Rhinolophus ferrumequinum: one gene and its partner. The protein of the gene in region 1 binds, or shares a complex with, the protein of each later gene. Links are inferred from orthologs where the notes say so. Each region holds a gene or a part of one and is shown on either strand. Other genes may lie near its edges. The genes, in order: NF2 and LATS2.

Region 1 (7,636 bases):
TTTGCCTGGTTTCTATCTCCATCCTACTCTCAAAAGGATGTAATGCAGCTTAGGAAAATACATCTAAAACATCATTCCCATCATGGGAAAATTTATAAGACAAACCTGAACTGAACAAGTATTTGGCCGATATTCATTAGAAGTGTCAAGGTGAAAAATAAGGAAAGACTGAAGATTTATTACAGACTGCAGAAGACTAAAGAGAAAGAACCCAATGTTATGTGGGAACCCTGACAGGATCTTGGAACAGAAAAGGACAGTAGTGGAAACACTGGTGAAATTTCAATAAGGGCTTTACTTTAGCTAATAGTTGTGTATCAATGTTAATTTCTTGATTCTGATAATTCTGTTATGATTAAGTAAGATGTTAACATTTGGGGAAGCTGAGTGAAGGATATAGAGAAACTACTATTTCTGCAAACTTTAAGTCTGATATTAGTTCAAAATAAAAGTTTAAAAATTATACATATGTAAGAAATACTTTGTTATATAAAGTATTGATCTAAGTAAAACAAATAAACAAAAAAGCCTTTAAGTAAGGGGTCCATAAGTATATAAAAAGAAATACAGCTAGTGCAACAAATAAACAGTAAGTGAGTGGGGGGAAAGTTATTACAAAGTGAGGAATAAGGGCAGGAAAAATAAGATGAAGCCAAAGATAAAGCAAAAGCAAGTAAAATTGCCAGAGGCTGAATTCAAATTTGGTTCTGGGCTTTCTAACAGAAAACTCCAAGAAGGCAACAAGATTGGTTATATGGTTTACAGCATGTTAAGAGAGAGAGAAAAAAACAAACCCAAACATTTACATGAGAGCCCATGCAGCCCTGAGAAAATTATATTATAGAATATTTAATGATATGGAAAAATATTCATAACATATTAATGAATGAAAAGTTAGCAAATCACAAAACAATATGTACTATATAAAAGCAGTGGGCCTGTGGATGATGAAAATTAAAATTGTTTTTTCTTTCTGCTTGTACAGGTTTCTATTGCTATGTAACAAATTATCACAATTTCAGTGGTAATTACATTTATCTCATGGGTCTAGAATCAGTCTGGAATCCAGGGTCTGGATTCCAGGGATGGCCTAGCATTATCTTCTGCTCAGGGTTTCAAAGGACTGAAGTCAAGGTATCCACCATACCACAGTTCTCATTGGAAGCTCAGGAAACTTTTCCTAGCTCATTCAGGTTATTGGCAGAATCCAGCTGCTTGTGGTAGTAGGATTGAAGTCTGTTTTCTTGCTGTCAGATGCGGACTACTCTTTGCTCCCAGAGGCTACCCAGAGTTCCTTGCTATGTGGCCTCATAGGCAGTTCACAACAAGGACGTTTGCTTTCTTCTAAGCCAGCAGGAGCTCATCTCTCTGACTCTCTCCACCTCTGTGTTCTTGTTCCCCTTTTAAGATTCACCTGATTAGGTCAGTCCCACTCATGATAATCTCCCTTTTGATGAATAAAACGGATTAGGGATTACATTTGCCTAAATTCCTTTTGCCATACAAAGTAACATAGTCACAGAATAATATCCCATCATATCCATAGGTCTTGCTCACACCCAAAGGGAAGAATTATACAAGGCTGTGGACATTGGGGGACATTTTAGAATTATGCCTACCACACTGCTGGTTTTCGATTTCTTTTTTTATAATACATATGGATTACTTGTAAAATAAGGAAAAACACAATAAAAAGTTATTTAGAAAATAAAAAGCAAACCAGTCTCGCATGAGTGCTGGAGTATGAGATTTCTCTCGTGGGTCTCCATAGAAAAGATACTGTGTGAAGCTTTGCCAGCTAAATATCTACTATAAAGATAGTCAGAGTTCCTCGAGGCCATTCCTTATAACATCCTCAGTACAGGACAATGGCTTCGTGCCAACATGCAGTAAAGTAATTCCGCAAGTGGCCAAAAATGACAGAGTACAGTTTTTGGCAGAGTTATCACAATCTAGAATTCACATGTGTGTCTAGGATAAGTTGATTTAATCAGTGGGATGAGTTGATTTAATCTGGAGTTCATAGATGTGCTTTGGACAAGTCTTTCCATGTACCTCCTAAAACCATATGGAAAATTTTGTGCATGTATGCATTCTTTTGAAGAGTGGGTTTGCTGGTTTCATCAGATTCTCTTATAGAGTATTTTCGACTCAAAAAATTTAAAGAAATTTATTTATCTTGGAATTATGGATACGTTGGGCTGGATAATTCTTTGTTGTGGGAGGTTGTCCTATGCATTGTGAGAGGTTTAATAGCATCCTTAGGCTTTACCCATAGAAGACAGGAGCACCCCTTAGTTGTGACAACCAATAAAATCTCGAGACATTGCCATATATCTGCTGGAGAGAAGTGACCTAACTTTGAAAACCTCTGATCTTCTGAAGAATGGACGAACAAAATATAAGTCAGGTGAGATCTGGATTAAAACAGTCCTGGATGAAAATTACATCTCTACCAGTCATGATCTTGGGTAAAATACCTGATTTCAGCCTTAGCTAATTTCCTCATGTGTAAACTAGGGATATAATATTTACCAAATAGGATTTTGATAAAGATCCAAGGAAATAAAGCATGCAAAACACTTTGCAGAGGGCTTCATATGGCAAGCACTTAATATATGGTAGCTATTAATATTCTTCCCATAATTGAGACCGTGAGTACTTATTCATTCAACAGATATTTATTACCTGGTGTCTATGTGCCAGATCTTTTTTAATGAGTTCTACCTGAACCATTCCTTCTCAAATCCTTACCTTGTAGGTATTATTACCATCTGTGTTTATTCTTTATGAATGGCAATTTTAATGCCAGCATACTATTCCATCACGTCTATTTTTATTCCTGGCATTGGCCTCCCTTGGGACATCCAGAGCTATGTATCTACCTGGATGTTTCCCTAGGAACATTTAAATTTGGCATGTTTGACCAATTAGCCCAGAGCCTAACACCTAGTAAGCCTTCCATAAAAACAAGCTATTATTGGCCATCAGTGTCTTTTTAGCCCCTGATTTCTGATCCACCTCCACTTGCTACTCCTCAGTGGGTTCCCAGATCACTTGGGTATTTTCTGTCAGCAGTCTTGGCCCTGGGTTAAAGAAAGCCCTGATTTATGTCCTGATGGGGACATCAGGAGAATCCAACCTGGTTCTCCCACCCCCCGGGGAAGAACTGAAGCAATGAAAATGAAGACACTTCTCCTCCCTCCCCCATCAGTTTGGTGGGGAGAATTTGCTAGCAGTAGACAGGACATAATGTTCCCCCACAGCAGCCTCTCTGAGTGTGCCAACAGATGATGTCTGGGGCCTGGCTGGTGCTTCATGGCACTGCAGGGGCCCATGAGGAAGAGCTCGATTTATGCTACTAGTTATCATTTTAGCAACAGTGTCTGCTGAGTCCTCCAGAACTGTAGTTCTTGGGGCTACACCAGGGAGCAATTTGGCAAACACAACCAGAGAAACAGGCAGTGCAGTGGTAATACTGGCAGGCTTTGGATGGGATAGACCTGGGTTCCAGTCCCAGCTTCACCTTTCGCTATCTGGTTGATAGCCAGCTAGTGGTTCTGTCATGTTGAGCCTGCTTCCTCCTCTGTAGAGAAGAGGTGATGGTTAACATTTATGGAGTGCTTACCGTTGAATTAAAACACAGGACATTGTCTCCTTTCAACACTTACGAGGTATTTAAAAATAGGATTTATTTTTTAAATACAGCAAGTTTTACTTCCTCGCCTCATATACACTCGTTATAAGCTTTGATGACATTTAAAAAATAAATAATACACGTATATGGTTCGAAACAGAAATCAGAGTACAAAGTGAGAAATGCTTTCGTTTTGACCATTTTGTATCTACAAAAACAGCAATTTCCTAGGATTCAATCTAGTATGTGCCAGCCACCGTTCTAAAACTTTATGTTAACTCGCTTAAATTCCTCAAAACCTCCATGAAGTAGGTACAATTATCCCCTCCTCGGTAATAATGAATACTTCTAAAGAGAAGCAGAAGGATCTGTGGGAGAGTGCCGGGAACCTAGGCGGCCTCCACAAGTAATTTAAAAGTTTTGAGAAACATAGGTCAGTATATGTAATTACTAAGTGCTAAACAGGATTATCCGCCGGGTGTCCGAAACACGATGCCTTGGGGCGTCATACTCGGCGCGTACTTGATCTGAAGGGCAGTCCTTTACTGGACCTGGGAGAAACCCGACTCCCGTACCCTGGGGCCAGCCTCAACGTGGTTTCCCAGGAAAGGCGCGCCGGGATCCGCCGCCTCAACCAGTCTTGTTAGAGTAGGCGTACCCCTTGCTAACAAAGCGATCGGAGCGACGGCGTCTATAGCCAGTCAACTCCGAACCCAGGCCCACGCCTCCAGTTGGAGCGGAACTTCCAATTGGTGGAGTCCTTGTGAGGAAGGCGGGACGGAGAGTGAAAGTCCCGCCTTCTTCGGAGTTTTAAGCCAATTGCTGCGTCTAAGGGGTGGTCGCCTGTTAGGTTGAGCTGTGAGTTGTGATCTCGGGGGCCTGAGGGCGGGGCAGGGAGCAGGCCGGGGGCTGCGGGGAGGGGACACTTCCCGCGGGCGCGCGGAGCGAGGACGGTGACAGCCACGCGCGCACGTGCGCGCCTGGCTGCGGCGCGGCCCCGAGACCTCCGTCAGCCGCTGAGAGGCGCGCGGGATCTGGGCCGCTGCCGTCTAGGGGCCCCGTCCCCGGGTGACCCCAGCGTCCTCGGCTCGAGTCCCGGAGCTCCGGGCCGAGTCCGCCCCGTCGGTCCTCGCTCGCGTTCCCTTCCTACGGCCGTAAGGGCTCGCCCCGCAACTCCACCTTTCCGCTCCCGGGGCAGGGTCCTCGCGGCCCATGCTGGCCGCTTGGGGCCCGCGCGGCTCAGACAGCTCCCAGGCTGGCCACCCGGCCACCATGGTGGCCCTGAGGCCTGTGCAGCTCCTCCAGGGGGGCTAACAGTCCCAAAGCGCAGGTCTCGGGACGCGAGGGTCCCGGGCCTGAGCCCCGCACCATGGCCGGGGCCATCGCTTCCCGCATGAGCTTCAGCTCGCTCAAGAGGAAGCAGCCCAAGACGTTCACCGTGCGGATCGTCACCATGGACGCCGAGATGGAGTTCAATTGCGAGGTAACCAACTGGCAGCCCGAATGGGCTGCTGTGAGCGGAGCCTGGCGGAATCTCTGCTCTCCTGGCCCTCGTGCGGGTTTGGCACTTATCGGGGCGCCCCTGTCGCGGTGACAGTCGAGGTGGAGACTTGAGGGATTCTGCTTATATCATCTCTGGGCATAGATAGGGATGGCTAGAACCGGAAGGAACCATCTAGGCCCAAATCCTCATATTAAAGATAAATTGCTGCCCTTTTCAGTAGGGCTTTGGGTTTGGAAGCACTTCCTTCGTGTTTTCATTCATTGTTACTGCTAAAGGCTGGAAGCATCTGTGGTAGCAAATTCTAGTTTTCAGTGTCAGGCTTAGGCTCCAGCGCTACAGAGTTTTTACTCCATTAGACAATATTATGTACACCAGGTATTAAAAAGCATCTTGTGTTATTGGGAAGTCTATACTTGTTTCCTTTTTCCAAAACTTAAATTTTCTGGAAAAAAACTTTGAGGAAAGAGGTGGTGTCTTACATTTTCCATAGTTTCTATCATGATGATAACAGTTACTATTTGTTGAATACTTTCTAAGTGCCGGACATTCATACATTTAATTCTTACAACAACCCAATGAGATACATACCCCAAATCATATATATAGTAAATGGCGAAGTGGGGTTTTGAATCAAGCTCTTAGCCCATACAGTACTGCCTTCTCAAGTAATTTAAGCTCTTGCTATTCAAAGTGTGGTCTGTGGACCAGCAGTATTGGCAGCAGTGACCTAAGTCAGGGATTGGCAAACTTTTTCTGTCAAGGGCCACATAGTAAATATTTTCAGCTTTGAAGGCTATAAGGTCTCAGTTGCAACTACTTAACTCTTCAGATGTACTATTGTAGCACCATTGTAGCCCAAAAGCCACTGTAGACAGGATTAACTTCTAGCATGACTTCCAGTGTGAAGAGCTCCACTGACATGGTTCTTTATAAAACTGGTAAAAATTATTTAAAAAAAAATTCAAATCCTCTAGGAATGGTCCTAAAGGCAAACATTAAGTGAAGAAACATCTATTCAAGAAAATACATAAAAATTTGGTAAGGAAGGCAAGGGTTTGTGGCATTTGAACCAAGACCACTACCACCCTCCCTGTTCCCAGCTCAGCAAGGCAGAGATTCTGCTTCGGACTGCTGCAACTCAAAACACAGGGCTCCCTCTCCCCTAGCTCCTAGTCAGAAGGCTGTCTTCCTAAGAGGAGCAGAACTTCAGTGCTTCTCAGCTGCCCAAGGTTATTTGTTGCTGAAACTGAGTGGAGTTGAAAGATGGGAGCTTCTTTCTTCCACCCAGCTCCTACTTGTGGAATGGAGGCTGTGCCCTGGGTGTGGCACACTGAAAATACTAGGCCCCATTTACTCTTGGCCCACGCTCAGCCTGGGAGAAGGTGGTTCCAGCCCAGAGAGGCAAACTGAGAAGACCTCAGGGTGGTATGTCCTCCCTCCCCACTTCCACCAAGGGCTCAGAAATTTTGCCAGGAGGGAGAAGCAGCCTTAAAAACCTTAGCTACTAATCTCTTTCCAAAGGTTGGAACTTCATTGGCTACATATTATGGAGAAGTTTATGCCTAAGGGTACTCAAGAACAGTGGAGGTCTTGGTGAAAGGCAATTGGTAGGGGATTTGTGGATTGAATGAAGATGCGACCTAGATTGTAGGCCAGCTTGTTTGCAGGAGAGAATGGGGCAATAAGATAGCTAGGGAAAAGCCCTGCTGGGGTCAGAACAAATATCAAACATGGATCTCAGGAACTGTTCCCTCAAAAGAGACACCTTTTGATTGGATTACTGTAGAGCAAGTTATGCCCCTGAGCATTGTTGAAAATAATAGAACAATATACCACAATTAGTGGAGTTTAACAGCTGGGTACGATTAGGGAAAGAGAGCCCTACTAAAACCTATGGTCATAAGCAAAGATGGCCTTCCTGAGGACAAACATCATAGGCCTTAACACTGTGAGGGAAATAGATTTCAGCCAGTCTTTAAATAAATAAGCAAATAACAATAACAAGCCCAGAAGAGGGGGCACCAGTTCCCAGGATTGCTATATTATCTAAAATGTCTAGTTTCCAACAAAACATTATGAGGTATGCAAAGAAACAGGGAAATATGACCCATACAATTGATAAAGGCTAGCAACAGAAATTGCTTGTGAGAGCGACCAGATGTCAGATTTAATGAAAAGGTTTCAAAGTAGCCATTATAAATATGTTCACAGAACTAAAGGAAAGCATGATTAAGGAAGTTAAGGAAGGGATAATGATATTTTTGTATCAGATAGAGAATATAAATAGAGAGAGATGAATTATTAAAAAGAACCAAATTAAAACTCTGGAGTTGGAAAGTACTGTGACTGAAATAAAAAATTCAGAGGGGCTCAAAGTAGATTCGAACTGGCAGAAGAAAGCATTTGCATACTTGAAGATAGATTGGTAGAGATTATACAAGCTGAAAAGTAGAGAGGAAAAAAAATGAAGAAAAATGTACAGAGCTGCAGAAAAA
Region 2 (7,916 bases), on another chromosome or scaffold:
GGCTTCAGAATGACACATGGTAATTTTTGTTGCTATAACATCCTGGTGGCCTACTTATTTACCCCTTTAAGGTAACTAGTCCAAATTAATCCAAATACTTAAAACAGTCGTATTTCATTATTTCTAAGACACATACTTTTCCACATTTCAGCATCTGTGAAATCGCAATGCATCGTAGAATGCATGTGATAGGCAAGCTCTTTCATACAGATGTGCAGCTTCTCCTTTCTAAGATGGAATCCTAAAAAGCCAATGAAACATGAAAGTTTCAAGACTAAGCACATGCTCCTTTCACAATGTATATTTTTGCCCTGCAAATATTTATTTGATCTCAGAAATTAATATAATCCTTTGAGCTAATGTGGCACAAATGTGGAAAAATCTATTAAAAATACAAGCATCTTGGAAACAGTAACAAACCAGTATAAATTTCTGTATTTCTTTCATGGCAACTGGGAAGATGAAACAGATGACCTAAAACTTGAAACAGCATAGCCTGTAGGGCCCATAAGATGACACAAGGACACCAGGCACTGATGAAGAATTAAGAACTCTGAAACACAGCACCAGGCAGGGGGTCAAACGCCCAAGGCCATTTAGTTTTAACACTCTATTTACAAGCCTCGGCTTCACACTGAGTAAAAAACTCCAAATCGAATCTTTCCATGGAGGCTCCCACCAGCTCGGAGGTGCTCTGGAAACAAGGAGGTGCTCTGGAAACAAGCCGCTCCTCTCGTTACCATGAGAACAACCGATGCCCTCTCAATTGCCAGCCCTAAAGCTAAGCACTGCTCCCCTCTCCCCATCGTTACCCTGCTGTTTCCACCTGCTCAATACAGATCAAATCATTTTTCTCCATGCCCACCACTGGTGCTGTTTCAATCTCTCATTATTTAATTCCTCTGTTTACCCCTTCCCACCTACGGGGAGGAGTCCCACTGTTGGAGGACAGCAAAGAGCACGACAGCATGTGCCGCCAGGAGCAGCACCCAGGATGTCACCCCACTCCAGGGTTTGCAGTGTTGGGATTGCCAAGAACGACACGGACAACACTTTGAGAAGGAACAGCAAGACAAGCTTCAGACGTTACTGCTGGTCCCCCCACTGCCTACAGCTCTCACCTGCAGCCCATCAGACGGTCTTGCATGTCCCTCTCATGAGCAGGGAAGGGGCCACATGATGCTTGAGCAGCACAAAGAACATCAAGCCCAGGACAGGGACAGAGCAAAGCTCAGCACAGGCGGCGAGGGCCCTTACCTCTTTACAAGGAAATGACCCAGGCCCAAGGCCACTGTGGCCCTGTGATAGGCGAGAAGCTGTGCAAGACTGCCTTTCCCAACATGACACATGTTCATTATTGAAAGAGGGGAAAGCCATCTGCAGGAATGCAGTAAATTATATCCCACACCTCACCACCCAGCAGTAACCAGTGACGTTACACCACTTCTGGCATCTTTCTGTGCACATGCACAGTGCTACAGAAATTGATCATCAAGCGTGTTATATATGCTGAGACAATACAAAAAAAACTGCTTCAAATATTACACATATTTTTAAGAAAACTTGAAATTAACAGAAGGAAAAACTAAAGTCAAATTGAAGGAATTGTAAAACTTCGTAACGATGTTACTCTTCCTCTCAACCCTGTCCTTTTGTAGCTTATTTTTACTTTGTCCCCAGTGATCTCCAATGTTGGCCTGAAACTTGAGGCCCGAGTGACTTTCTTTAACCCGATATTCTGCTGTTTATTGTAATCAATTATTCCTGATATACAGAATGTACTTGTGTGTACCAAAAAGGATTCTCTTCCTTTCTACAAACGTTTTCCAGATTTTCATCTTGCTCAGGACGAACATGGGGAGCTGGTTCACACCTCTCAGTGAATAGTCCTCCTCCATGAGCCCCCGCCTGCCTGCTGAGGGCTGTCACCTAGAGCAGCTGGACTGCCAAGTGCACTTTCTGACTAGTCCACAGCTTGAGCACTCAGGTGAAGAGTAAACAACGAATACTCTACAGCGTAGTAGTAAATGCATTTCCGACTTACGATATTTCCAACTTAGCATGGGTTTATCGGGACATAACCCCATCCATGGTAAGTCAAGGAGCATCCTATTTGGTAGGTGGGATTCAAGTCCCATCAGTTGGACTTTAGAGATCATCCTAGATAATCCAGTAGGCCTGATCCAATCAGTTGAGGGCCGTAGCCGGCTGTGGACCCAGATTTCAAGCAGTGCCCTTCCTGATAGACTGCCCTACAGATGAGGAATTCAGGTCGCCGGGCAGCCCCCCCAACTGTATAAGCCAATTCTTTGTTATATAAATCTCTTAAAACTGCTGATGGTTCTGTTTTCCTGGGTGAACCCTGATACAGTGGCCTACATGATTTTCTTCCAGTAACCTGTTTAATGACCACCTAATCACAGGACACGTATCACTCTGGTGTATCTGTCTTGTTCCCAGCCCCACGCAATGCCCTGAACTTTTGCAAACTCAACTGGTTTCTGCTGGGCTCCTCTGGACTCCCACTGCCTTTTCCTTGACTTCTTAGGGCTGTGTACATTAGCTTCTCGGTCCAGTTCCAAAAATTGAGAATTCCTAAGATTTGTTAACCAACCTCCCTCATTCCTGCTTCTGGGAGAGGGACAGGTCTCTGCGCTACCTCCACACCAACCATCCAGTCTTTCAGAATCTGTTTTTTTGGAGGTATAGTATAAGGTTCTTTCCTTGTTTGTTTAGGACAGGAATTTTTCTAATCTTGATCGGGAGTAGAGGATCTATTGAACAATCTCACCCTGCCATCTTCACCCTAGTCTTCCTTAGCATTTGTTAGAGTGCTTTCTCGCTGGACTGAGCTCACTGTAGGGAGCGTCAGCACCATCTTTCCTTTATGCCCTGAGGGTCTAAGTACAGCACCTGGCAAACAAAATCTTATTTGTTGGAGAAAATATACACTTTAATCTTTGAACAGAGGTTTTCATCAACCCAGTAATAACAGTTCCTCCCTCTAACTGAAATCAACCTTCTCTGGCTTTATTCTGGGATGATATACTGAACTGGACTCATACTACTACATAAACTTAACAAGCCCCTTCAAAAAGACAAATAAGGTCCAAATCTTTAAAGAGCTGAGTTCTAGTATATTGGGCTTACAGTTTAAAATTACACACCTTTAGAGGAACGTAAAATACTGTGTGAAAAACAGTTTGGCGGTTCCTCAAAAAGTTAAACATAGAATGAGCACATGATCCTGCAATCCTACTTCTGAGTATAGAACCAACTGTATCCCACTTCTGGGTATAGAACCCAAAGAACTGAAAGCAGGCTGAAAGAGATTTGTACTCCCATGTTTACAGCAGCATTATTCACTGGCTGAAATGTACAAACAACCCCACAATGCCTATCAATAGATGGACCAACAAAATGTAGTATATCCATACAGTGAAATTTTAGCCATAAAAAAGAATTGTTGTATGTGACACCATGAATGAAGCTTTAAAACTTATGCTAAGTGAAATAAACTAGACAAAAGAACAAATATTGTGTAAGTCCACTTATATGAAGTGTCTAAAGTAGATAAATTCAGAGACAAAGTAGATTACCCTGGATATACCCGGACTGGTATAGAATTTCTGTTGCGAGGGAATGAAAAAGTTGTGGGAATAGATTAACAGTAATGGTGCACAATGTGAATATACTTAATGCCACTGAATTGTATCCTTAAAAACAGTTAAAATGGCAAATGTAATACACACACACAAAAGACAAATTTTAAAAAAGTATACCTTTCGTACTGCTACTAAAAAACCATTATGATGTCAATCAAACGAAGGAATTACACGTACATGCTGCTTGCTGTGTATAACGTTCCTAGTCAGACTCGGGGTAGGTAAGGTACACACAAGAGATACACATTCAGGGGCAGGTCTTCACTGAGCACACATCAAAATCTTTTCTATTATGCATCAGATCAGAAACCACCCCGGTTTTGCTGATATTTGATGCTACGGCAGTAAGGCTCAATATCACCTGGAAGTGCTCCTCGAGGACAACACACATCACTCGACAGCATGGCTGACCCTTCCCCGTGACTGTAGTACCATGTATTCGACCGGCAGCCCCTTATGGGCGGCTGCCGCATTTTAACGATCTGCGTGCCATTGCTCTACCAAGCAGCCATAACTCCACAACGCCAAAGGTTCACCATTAGACGCAGAAGCTTACAAGACGGGTCGGACCGATCTTTTCACTTAACAGCCGAAACTAACTCTGTGAGAGTGGCGCCCGCAGGCTCAAGTGGGGGCTGCTCCCCACCGGCCCAGGGGACTCGCCGGTGCCCGCTCGTCCCGCGGCCCACTCACCAGGTGTAGATCTGCAGCTCGCTGGATGGCACGTTCCCTCGGGAGAACTCGTCCATGCGGTGATGGCGGCCGTTGTTGGTGGTGAAGACGCGCAGCAGCAGCGGGCACGTCTGGGGGACAGGAGTAAAGGCAAGGGAACAAGCTGAAGCGGCGCGGCCAGCCTCCCGCAGGCGCCGCGGCCTCCGAGCCGCCCCCTGCGCGCAGGCCCCGCTCTCCACCCCGCCAGCCCACTGGCACCTCGTCCGGACGCCTCACCTTCTCCCGGTCGATCGGCTTCTCCGGCTCCTTCTTAATTTCCTCCTGGGTGACGCGCGACTCCACCGCCATCTTCCTCCTGTGGCCCGCGAGACGCTCGCTCTGACCTCCGACCCCGGCAGCTAGCATGAGAACGAAGTGTCTCGCGAGGAGAAGCTCGAGGCTTTATAGCAGACAGGGCGGGGTGAGGGTGGGGCGGGGCCTTCCGCGGCGCAAGCGCATTTTGTTGCGCGGTGCACTAACCCAGACAGGCCGCGCCTGCGCGTTGTGTTGTTCGGGAAGAGGCGGGCGCTGGCGTCCCCGCAGCGGAACTTCTGAGGGACGTCGCCGGACCTTGTTGGCCAAGGTATTTATGCATTCCCTGAAATGTTCACAGGCCAAATAAGCTCACGAGGGCGTATTCGCACGAAATTATGGAAACCTTAACGCAAAACGCCTAAGAACAGTACAGGAGGTCCTGTTGTGAGTAAGCAAAAACATGCCTTTATTAGCAAACTGTCGAGCTCTTTTTTGATAGAGGTAGGGTAACACGTGGTAAAAGGGCCCGAACGTGGTCCCTGAGTTAAGACTAGGGAGGCACTGCAAAACAGAGGGAACAGTGAGTGACCTGGACTGAGGGAAGAAAGGACTCCTCCCACCCCACCCCTACACAGAATTTCGGGAGCGGTCAAAGACCTAAGTGTGAACAGCAAAACTCGCACTTTCTGGAAATAACATAGTAGACCGTCTTCATGACCAATGGATAGGGATATGTGATACAAAAAGCACTAACCATAAAAGGTTGACAAAGTTTGCTAGATTAAAATAGAAAAAAAAACAACAAATCCTAACCTTCAGCATACATCATAAAGAAAGAGAAGCATAAATCACAGAGTGGAAGAAGGTATCAGGGGTGCATGTGATTGACAAGAGCTAGGGTCCGGGATATGAAAGAACTAAAGAAGAATTCCAATAGAAAAATGGGTAAAATCATTGATTTGAAAATGGAGAAATCCACATGGCCAATAAACATAAGGTGCTGAAGCTCATTACTAGTCAGGAAATGCATTAAAACCACAGTGATCGGCTTTAATTGATTGGTTTTAAACTACACGTACCTCTGGGTAAAAATTGGAATTCTGACAGTTGTTGGTAGACTAATGGGAATTCTCAAATGGTATATATACCACTTTGGGAAGTAGTTTAGGATTATTTAGTAAAATTGAAGATACGTATACTTTAGATCTAACAATACCACTCCTTGGTATATACCCTAGAGACAGCCTTGCTCAGCTGTATCCGGAGACATAAGAATGTTCTTGGCAGTATTGTTCATAAGAAAAAAGAGTGGAAACATCCCAAGTGTCCATTAGCATTACAGTAGTTCAATGAATTGTGGTATCTATACAGCAACAAAAATGAACAAACTACAGCCACATGAAACCAACTGTGTGAAACATCATGAATTTCACAAGCATAATGGTAGGTGTAAGAAGCCGAAGACAAAAGAATGTATACTATGTGAACCCATTCTTACAACATTCAAAAGCATGCAATGCCATATTGTTCAGGATTCATTTCCAGGTGATAAAACTATAAAAAGAAAAGCAATGAAGTCATTACCACAAAAGTCAGAATGGTCGTTAACTCTGAGAAAAAAATGGATTGTGACCATGGAGGGGCAAAGGTGTTTTTTTTTTTTATTGAGGTGGTGATTACACCGTTTGATTTTAAATTGTTCTTTAAACAGTACATTTATGTTTTATGCATTCTTCTGCATGAATGCTGTATCATGCTATTTTAAAAAATACCCCACCAAAGGAAAAAAAATGCCTATAAGTCAGTAAGAAAAAGACAATCCAATAGAAAATGGGCAAAGGGCATATAGGCCTTTCAAAGAAAACACAAATTGCATGTAAACATGAAAAAATGCCCAACCTCATGAATAATCATAGAAAAACGCACATTTAAATCACAATGAGATAACATTTCACAACTAGATTGGCCAAGATGGAAATCTGACAACCAAGTGCTATGAAGGAGATGGAGAAAAGGGAGTTTTTATGGGCTACTCTGATCTACTTTGGAAAAATTGATGTTATCTAGAAAGACTGGATATGAGTACACGTGAAGACCCAGCTATTCCACTTCTATGCTATGCCCCAGAGAAATTGTTACACATAGTCAAACTTTTAGAAACAATTTGAATGTCTACCAAGAGTATATTGGTAAAATGGAATACATAAAGTTGAAAGTAAATGAATGAATGAATATGCTCTTTTAAAAGTAGAATTAAAAAAGCAAGTCAGAAAAACGCAATGGGATTCAATTTATGCAGAGTTCAAAATTAGGAAAATATTCCCTGTCTCCCCCCACCCCCACACAAAAAGTACTGTTTAGGGAAACAAACACCACATGGTAAAACTATAAAGAAAAGAACTGGGATGATTAAAACTAAATTCAGGATAGTGTTATCTCTGAGAGTAAGCTGGATGACCCAATTTATGAAGGGCATCCTGGGAGCTTCTAAAATACTAGAAATGTGCTCTTTCTCACTAGGGGTGGGGGTGGTTTTTCATTTTTACATTGTAGCTGTACATTTTAGATACTCGTGTGATTTAGATCACTGTTAAAAATTTTTAACTATTATTTAGGGATAGGACCTTACATGCAGTCAATATCCAGTTTTTTACAAAAGATTAAATTTCCTTCAAGTTCTATGATTCTAATATTAAACCTTTTTCAAAACCTCCATAGTATAAAAATACAGACACATGAGGGCACTCTAACCAATAAACTAAAGGGAAACATTGAAACTGAAAATGAACCTCATGACCTCTTAGTGGTGACTGGGAGGTTTAGTCGCTTAGATGTAAGCTTTTATAATGGACCTTTCTGAATGAGGCTCTCATCAAAATGGGAGTCCTGATGCCTGTGACAGTGCAACTGCAGCTGTATATCAGAACAATTCAGGCTGACTTTCAGCATCCCTCAGTCTACCTACTTGGCTTTCTAGGTCCAGCACTGAGCACAAACTGTAAAATTTAAGTATATGCATCCTTTCTCTTTATAGAATTTACAAAGGAGAATTACAGTTCTCGGTGGTTCTGAGAGCCATCTCCTTACCAGTACATTTTAAGCCAGTGGAACAGAATGGGGGTTGCATTTGCTTGTCATGGAGTTGAATCTCTCACTTTACCCCCTATTTTAAGCATTTGAATGATTATATTGAAATGGTTTTTAAACGAACATTCTCTTCCTCAAGAGTCTGCAGTGTCAACAACATATGTACTTACCAGAAGCAAGTTGCAGAGGGTGACTCAA

What was found.
Region 2: the proteins of NF2 (region 1) and LATS2 are in contact, whole or in part, in a crystal structure (PDB 4ZRI), measured with the Homo sapiens proteins. The link is inferred for Rhinolophus ferrumequinum from reciprocal best matches to the Homo sapiens genes NF2 and LATS2. Residues at the interface, in NP_000259.1 of Homo sapiens: Pro135, Glu136, Ala137, Val139, Leu140, Tyr144, Asn175, Leu176, Tyr177, Gln178, Met179, Trp184, Arg187, Trp191, Glu206, Lys209, Ile210; in NP_055387.2 of Homo sapiens: Tyr73, Ala76, Leu77, Glu79, Ile80, Arg81, Ser83, Leu84, Leu85, Phe87, Ala88, Asn89.

Annotation. Positions count from the first base shown.
Region 1 is NC_046308.1:18,945,108-18,952,743, forward strand, and holds the start of NF2 (merlin), read left to right. Parts: upstream 1-4,490; 5' UTR 4,491-5,006; coding exon 5,007-5,120; intron 5,121-7,636. UniProt on the Homo sapiens protein: Probable regulator of the Hippo/SWH (Sav/Wts/Hpo) signaling pathway, a signaling pathway that plays a pivotal role in tumor suppression by restricting proliferation and promoting apoptosis.
Region 2 is NC_046287.1:104,818,700-104,826,615, reverse strand, and holds the start of LATS2 (serine/threonine-protein kinase LATS2), read left to right. Parts: upstream 1-4,864; 5' UTR 4,865-4,959; intron 4,960-7,916. Other genes in the region: histone deacetylase complex subunit SAP18, read right to left, coding at 4,359-4,468, 4,614-4,742. UniProt on the Homo sapiens protein: Negative regulator of YAP1 in the Hippo signaling pathway that plays a pivotal role in organ size control and tumor suppression by restricting proliferation and promoting apoptosis.